Oryza sativa Japonica Group: one gene and its partner. The protein of the gene in region 1 binds, or shares a complex with, the protein of each later gene. Links are inferred from orthologs where the notes say so. Each region holds a gene or a part of one and is shown in the gene's direction. Other genes may lie near its edges.

Region 1 (3,892 bases):
GTCCGTAAAATGGTTGTAGAGAACTGTTAGCAGATTGGAAAGAGGAATTATACAACATTGTTACATGAACTGCTGCATATTCAATATTGCTTTTACGTGCGTACAAGAATTGCTCGACTAGCTTGCTAGGTGCTAGCCATTCCTTGCATGCCAAAACAGATACTGATTGTTCTGGAAAACAAGAGCTAATTTACTATCCTCCAGAGTATTGCAAAGTAGAGGTATCTCCTAGTTTTAATACCTCCAAAGGTCATAAAAAAACTCTTTCCACAATTACATTTAAAACATCCCAATTTCATGATGTTTGCTAATCAGCTCAGGTGCCTTCTAGAACGCTCACATAAAAAAAACTCAGTGATCTGTTTATGCATAATAGAATTGTTCCTCACACCAAGAGATGATTGTTTGTGCTTAAAATGCAGCTATGGAAATGGAACCATGTTCTCTTCTCGACTAGTTATTCAATTGCTGTGTCCTTTCTCCTACGCAGTGCAATTATCTACTCTGGAATTGTGCAGTTATTTCAGTTATAATGATTCTCTTCCAACATTTAGGAAAGACCAGAAACAGTTCAATTTCATTATTTCAATATTGTTTACTAAGAGATCTGGCAGATCAAAATTTGTTTACTGAAAAAAAAAAGGGGAAGAAACAATCGAAGCATCCTTACTAAATGAATTGGATTATGAATTACGAATCATTGCTCAACTGCATCGTATAATGTAACATTTAACGACTGTAAATGTTTACTGCAAAATGGAATGAGGGGAGGGGGGCATTTGACGGCGCATTACCTCGAACACATGATGTGCATCCAGAGACGAAGCTCCACTCCCAGCAGCGAGATCCCAAAGGCAAATCTTCTTATCATACGAGCCGCTCAGCAGCAACCCCTCCTTCATCGGACTCCACGCCAGCCCATACCCCTCCGCTTCATGCCCCCTGAGCACCACATCGGCGCCGCCCTTCTCGCCGCCGTCGCCAAGATGGTACACGTGCACCTCATCCACGCAGGTCTTGGTAGCCACCGTGTACGGCCTCTGCGGCATGCAGCGGGCGCGGTTGACCTCGCCCTTGTGCGGCACCGAGCGGGAGATGGACACGGACGGGGCCGGGACGGCACCGCCCGCCGCCGCGGCCGCCGCCGCCAGGCGGGGCGGGAGCGGGAGGGCGGCGTCGGCGAGTAGGAGGTGGTTGGGCGTCTCGTCGGAGGTGTGGGTGCCGAGGACGAGGCGGTGGGAGCGGGCGGAGCCCGGCGACCGGGAGTGGGAGGGGAGCCACTGGACGGTGAGCGACGGCCACTCGAGCGGCTGGGAGATGACGAGGTCGTAGAGCACCGGCGCGTTCTTCTTCCAGTTCTGGTGCTCCTCCATCTCCGCCGCCGACGACCTCGCCGCCGTGGAGGACCCGCCGTCCATGGCTCTTCTCTTGCGAATTGCGCGGGAAGTGGAGGCGGCGCTGTGGTGCTCTCCCGCCAAAAAGATTGGGGAGACGATGCGGCGGAGTCAGAAGAGATGGTGTTTTATGGCCGAGTTAATGGGCTTTTATGGGCCGTAAAGCCCATATAATACAATTTGGAGGCCCATTAGCCCATTAAGAGGAAATTTTGTCTAGTAGCTTCTGCCTCGCGTCCGTCTCCTGCATCCGCAGTCGCCGCCGCCGCCGCCGCGATGATGCAGTCGCACCACCCCTCGCCGGCGCGGCTGGGGCTGACGGCCTCGTCGCCGTCGCTCCCGCCCAACCCGGCTGCGGGGAATCCCACCTCCTCGCCGCCGCAGGGCAACCCTAGCGCGGCGGCGGCCGTGGGCGCTGCCGCTGCCGCTGCACCAACCCTAACTACATCGCCGTCGCTGCTGCCGCTCCTGCCGCCGCTCCCGCGGGCGCAGGCGCTCCTCCAGCTGATCTCCGCGCTCGCCTCCAACCTCTTCGAGCTCTCGCCGAGCCGCGCCGCGTGGATCTCGGCGTACCGGGGGTCACTCCCCACTTTCCTCCCCTCGCCGTCCTCCGCGCCGCCGCCGCCGCTCCCGGCCCCGATCTCCTCCACCAAGGAGGCGCTGTCGCTGCTCAACACGCTCCAGACCCAGCTCTTCGAGGCCGTCGCCGAGCTGCAGGAGACCCTCGACCTGCAGGACGCGCGCGCGCGCCTCGCCCGCGAGGCGCGCGCCAAGGACGCCTCGATCCTCGCCTTCGCCAAGAAGCTCCGCGAGGCGCACCACGTGCTCGACCGCCTCGTCGACGACTACGCCGACTACCGCCGCGACCCCAAGCGCCCGCGCGGCGCCGCGGCGGCGGACGACCCCGAGCCGGTGTCAGACGGCGACTTTGGCGCGTCGCTGCACTCCAAGCTCAACCTGGACGACGTCCTGACGTACGCCCACCGCATAAGCTACACGACCTTCGCGCCGCCTGAGCATGGTGCTGGGCTGCCTCTGCGTGGGGCGTTGCCGCCTGCTCCTCAGGAAAATGAGATGAGGATGTCGCAGCTGTATCAATTTGCGGATTTGGATGTTGGAGTGCCGAAATCCCAGGAAGCAAAGGAGAGGACTGCAGCAGAGGGAGATGCCACTCCGCTTTTTCAGCCTTCACCAACCCAGGAGGCAGCTGTGCTACCAATCACTGTGCCGCATCCGCATGGGTGGCGGAACGGGGCGCTGCCTCTCGAAATCCCGTTGCCGCCGCCTGGATGGAAACCCGGGGACCCGATCACTCTACCGCCGGATGGCATTCTGGCTGGTGTCAAGGGTGAGGAGCCACGGGCCAGTGTGCAACAGATGCCGGTTGTGGTGCCAGCAATGGTGCCGAAGGCACAAGAACCGATACAGGTTCGGCATGTTGATCTTGACATTAACAATAGTTCTAGCAGTGATGAGTACAGTAGCGACGTCGGGAGCTCTGAAGAAGATGATGAGGATTAGTTCCTTGGTAAGCTATTTTATGATTCATGTTTCCATGCCGTTGTAGGTCATGTACTAGTAAGAACAAATAATGCAAGCTCTCATACATGATTATTCAAGATCATGCAGCAATATACTGGTATTGAATAGAATTGGGTGGCGTATCATGTATGTGTTGATTAATTAAACCATCTCACTAGTCAATTTGCTTCGATATATGTAATCAAGCATGATGGTCTAATTTCCTCAGGATGTGCTGGTGTTGTATCGTCAGAAACATGGCTTCTTTTATGGATATTTAAACTTGAACATGGTGTGTTTAATGTTTGATGCCCTTCTTCACAGATTACAGGTTTCAGTCATAATTGCTTGCTAGGCTTGCTAGCTGGTTATGGGCTTTTCAATCAAGTAATGACTTCCATGTTCATGCACTCTGCTTAATTTTTCTCATTGTTTTACCTTATGTCTGTACCTCTTATTGCTGCAATATAGTTTGAAAACCTTTATACCATTGTACCAAAGAGTGGTAGCTGAAAACTCAAGAATGTTCTATAACTCAAGCTATATAAGTTATGAGAAGGGAGTGGTTTCAACTTGTAAGTTTGCACTTAAATGAACACACCATTTTTCCTATCTTATTGCACAGCATGGGGGATCTTCCTACTACAAACATGATACTAGTACTATAGGTCTTAGTTTTCATTCACGAGCTTATCTTGCAGATGATAAAGTAGTAATTGACTCAAATGGGTTAGAACTGCCAAAGCATCATCAGAAGTAACTCCTTTTATAATTTTATTGGTGCATATCGCATCTTTATGTACTTTTTTTTCCCAATTCAAGAGCTGCATGGTTATCAAAGCGGTCTCATCGTAATTTCAGTAGCCTTAGCAGGGTTTCCATCATAAAATATTCAATAGACATTGATCAGTTCTCTTTTGGGTATTAAGATATCATGTGACTTTGGATTTATACTTATATACAAGGGATGTAAAATT
Region 2 (4,004 bases), on another chromosome or scaffold:
CGCCGGCTTGTGGTCGATCTGCAGGCTGTCAATGCTGGGGTAACTTGCTGCTGTCCCGAAGCAAAAAACAACAATTTTCCAGTGTTGAAATCAATGTCATCCAACAATCCAAGACATGTAAAACGTTACCACTGGATGAATGATGCAAGAACAATGGTAAATGTCAGATTCAATTCAGGGTTCTCGTTCTTGTGGAGTCACTCACATTCAGATGATGCGGCTGCGACGAGGGCACACCACCCAGCTTCTGCTGCTGATACTTGCTCCCGTTCGCCTCCTGCAGGAGATCACCATTGAAGAGGCTGCGACAACCCTAGCTCCTCCTCCTCCTCAGACCATTTCCTCCATGATAGGCTCCCTCCGTGGCCGCGGCCGCCGCGTCCGCCCTCGCGCTCCTCCTCCTCCTCCTGTCCCGCTCGCCGGTAGCACGAGGAGCCGCGTCCACGTCATCACCTACCGCTCCCCCGCCGCCTCTGCGGCCGCGGCCGCGCTCCCGTGGATCGACTGGGCGCGCACGGCGTCGATGAAGGCGGCCCCGGGCTGTTGTCCTTCGCCTCCGATCCGGGCAGCGTGGGTCGGTCGCTGGCGCTGCTCGTGGAGTTCGCTCATGGTCGGCGGCGGCGAGGCCCGGCATGGTCGGGTGAGGCAAGGTGGGAAGTCACGCGGGCGGCGGGTGAGGCTCATGGTCGGCGGCGGCGGCGAGGCCCGGCATGGTCGGGTGAGGCGAGGTGGGAAGTCACATTGTCGGCGGCGGCGAGGCCTGGCATGGTCGGGTGAGGCGAGGTGGGAAGTCACGCGGGCGGCAGGTGAGGCGGGCGGCGTGGCTGGCGTGCGTTCTTTTTTTCGTTCTTTTTGGCGTGCAGTTTCTTTTTTCGGAGCAAGACGCGGTGTTAATCCGGTGCTAATTGTAACCGCAGGATTAATCCGGCGCTAATTGCAATCATGGTGTTAATTACACTAAACAACTCGTGCTTTTTATATTAGTCTAGATTAGAGTCCAAGTCCGATTCAATTAGTGTTAACTAATCGGGTGAGTTAATTGTTAGTAATAGTTTGGTTTAATCCTGGGCCGTCCGATCCATTTGTGTGTGGATCAGATCTGGACGCGTGGTGGTGATGTGATGCAATTTTCCGCGTGGGGTCCCTTGGTTCCTTCGTAATCAAGCTAGCCATGGGCCCACGTGCCAGTCAGAGAGTGGCTTGCGCACTGTCGATGTGCTGGGCCCACCAGTTTTCTTTGATGGGCCTAGATGTAATTGGGCCTTGGTGGATAGAGAGGAGGAGGAGAGAGAAGGAGAGGGAGAAGAGGAGGAGGAGGAGGTCGCCGGCGGCGAGGAGGGGGACGAGATCGCCGGAGATGGACATCATCTCGCAGCTGCAGGAGCAGCTGAACGAGATGGCGATGGTGGCGGTGAACACCTTCGGGACGCTGCAGCGGGACGCGCCGCCGGTCCGCCTCTCCAACAACTACCCGGACCCGCTCAACCCCGCCGCCGCCGCAGCAGCAAACCCTAACCCCGACGACCCCGCCCAGCCGCAGCCTGGAGCGGCGGCGGCGGCGGCGGCGGGAGCTCCGGCTGCGCAGGCACAGGCTCCGCCGGCGCAGGCCCAGCCGCCCGCGCTCGACCTCGCCGAGCATCCCAAGGCCATGAGCCACGCGCTCGTCCTCGCCGCCAAGAAGGTACGCGTCTTCCGTCGCTTATCTTCTCTGCTTGCCACCTGCTCGATGAAATGCCTGAGTGCCTGCTGGTTCTTGGGGTCTGACGCTTTAGGGCTTGGACTGTAATTTTTGGTGTGACCAGCCTTAGCATTTTTGTGTGATTGCAACCACGGTCAGGGTGCCTGGTTCTTTGAAAATTCTTCTACTTACAGAATCATATCTTCTATAGTGAGATTGTTCATGTAGTGTGGTAGAGTACTTTAGTTGCATTGTGCTGTTTTTTAGCCCTCTCGAGATAATTTTGAATGGATCTGCAAAATAGGAGCTTCACTCATATTATTCCTCGCAAAGAAGGGTTGACGATGATGTGGATCACACCAATCTTTGTACTGTTCCTCGCAAAATGTAGGTGGGATGATGGTATGCAGCACACCAACCTCTGTCTCCAGAGGGCAAACTTTGCATCTGAGAGTACACTTGAAATGTGCTACTAGCTACTGTTTCCAATACCGTTCTCTTTTTTTTTTGGTTTTTTTATGCAGTTTGATGCTCTTGTTTCTGCGTTGCCACTATCATCTGAAGAGGATCAGCTGAAAAGAATTAAAGAGCTACAGGTATGTCTCAGTTTTGCCCTCTGAGCAGTACATTGTGAAAGGGTGACATTAAGCTAGTGTCTTGTGAAGATGGTATCTTTGTGCATGTTTCCTTCTGTTTTTTTTTTCCTACGCCTTGTGGATGGAGTTTCATACTAAGGTTGTCCTCCTTAGTCGCTTGCTTTCTTCTGAATGAAGGTTTAGCAGACGCTCGGCAGCATGTCCTGCCATAGTATCAGTATTCATGATACTTGTGTCCTGCAGCTAAAATGCTTATGAATTTGAAATGCGCAGGCAGAGAATGAAGTTGTAGGCACAGAGCTTCAGAAACAACTGGAAGCTGCTGGTATGCTTTGCTATTACATTCTTGGAATATTTTGCCTTCATTATATAATTCCTCACCATGTTACAACTGATTATTTACAAGTCCAGTGTTTTACATGTCTTGTTGCTTTTGTAGAGCTGGAGCTGAAGCAAGTTGAGGCTCTTTTTAATGAAGCTACAGATCATTGTATAAACTTGAAGAAGCCAGAGTAATAGTTATCAATGTAAGTTTGGATTTCTCCCTTCACTATCTCAATAAATCTTTAGCTTTTTTTGTGCTTGCAAAAAATTATGCTTGCGCTTATGATATGGGATTATTTTGTGACCAGCTGTATAATCCGCTTGACTTCCCAAACTTGGTACACTGTATTATCAGGAAGTCAGGATACTGATAACAATTTTGTTCTTATGGTGCTTTTTGCAGTACAATATTCTACATGCACCATTTACTAGATGGCTGTTGGCATCATGTCCATGATCAATTATTGGTTTATGTAGTTTATGTACGATGATGGCCTGAACAAAACATAATTATGGTGGATGTTGACCTGTTATATTAATCCCTCGCAAGATGCTTTCATAAAACCCTCTGGGGGCTTGTCTTTCTGTTGATCAGAAAATTCCAACACAGTGTTGTTACGTATGATCGTAGTATCACTAAAATGACTTATGTTTGCTTTCCTGTCATATCAGGTAACGGAACCCATTTTGGAGTCATGAACAGATGAAGGTGGAGATGTGAATGCCAGCTGCCGATGCTACATGTAGACTCAGTTTTAGTATCAAGTTAGCTGATGCTCAACAATATTCCAGTAGTACTTGTTGGATTAGGAATTAAACCTAGCACTGTAATTTACAGTAACTTGAATAGTTTCAAGCTGGTTCGTTTAATCTGAAATAATTTGAGCATAACTTCATGTTTATTTATTATAGTTGGGCCACTGTTCGTTCACAGCAGCACAGGACCATATAGTGCTATGCAAATACAATTAAGACATGCCTAGGATTCATACTCTTTGAACTTTGAAGAACTGCACTGAAGATATGGAACAATATTATCTCGGTATAAAGCATTCCTCTCTAAAGATTACCCAAACATTGAGGCTAAACATGACTTGAATTCTAGCAACTCTGACACTGAAATATAGAACACCATATTTTCTAGGGGCACTTGGACAAACAAAACATCCCTTGAAAACTTTATTTGTCAAGCTCCAGAGATTGGCTGGCTAACTTGGAGCAAACTCTCAACTCAGGCATACTTGCAATTGCCAGAACCTGCAAAGGTTGGCAAGAAAGCCATGTAAATTTGCAGGATTCAGGTGAAAGAAACAGCAAGTGAAGCAAGCTTTGAAGAGGCTAATACTTACTGGGATCAGTGATGGTGATGAGGCCAGTGCCGTTGAAGAAGCAATTCCATGAGTTCC

Evidence for each region.
Region 2: mediator of RNA polymerase II transcription subunit 4 (region 1) and mediator of RNA polymerase II transcription subunit 21 share a complex: the UniProt entries of both Arabidopsis thaliana proteins name them as parts of the mediator complex. The link is inferred for Oryza sativa Japonica Group from reciprocal best matches to the Arabidopsis thaliana genes AT5G02850 and MED21.

The regions. Positions count from the first base shown.
Region 1 is NC_089043.1:25,716,127-25,720,018, reverse strand, and holds mediator of RNA polymerase II transcription subunit 4, read left to right. Parts: upstream 1-1,595; 5' UTR 1,596-1,670; coding exon 1,671-2,915; 3' UTR 2,916-3,236; downstream 3,237-3,892. Other genes in the region: histone-binding protein MSI1 homolog, read right to left, coding at 795-1,418. UniProt on the Arabidopsis thaliana protein: Component of the Mediator complex, a coactivator involved in the regulated transcription of nearly all RNA polymerase II-dependent genes.
Region 2 is NC_089042.1:2,025,008-2,029,011, reverse strand, and holds mediator of RNA polymerase II transcription subunit 21, read left to right. Parts: upstream 1-1,242; 5' UTR 1,243-1,357; coding exon 1,358-1,681; intron 1,682-1,982; exon of another isoform or gene 1,983-2,065; intron 2,066-2,202; coding exon 2,203-2,274; intron 2,275-2,547; coding exon 2,548-2,599; intron 2,600-2,713; coding exon 2,714-2,790; 3' UTR 2,791-2,801; intron 2,802-3,270; 3' UTR 3,271-3,504; downstream 3,505-4,004. Other genes in the region: major pollen allergen Ole e 10, read right to left, coding at 3,830-3,855, 3,948-4,004. UniProt on the Arabidopsis thaliana protein: Component of the Mediator complex, a coactivator involved in the regulated transcription of nearly all RNA polymerase II-dependent genes.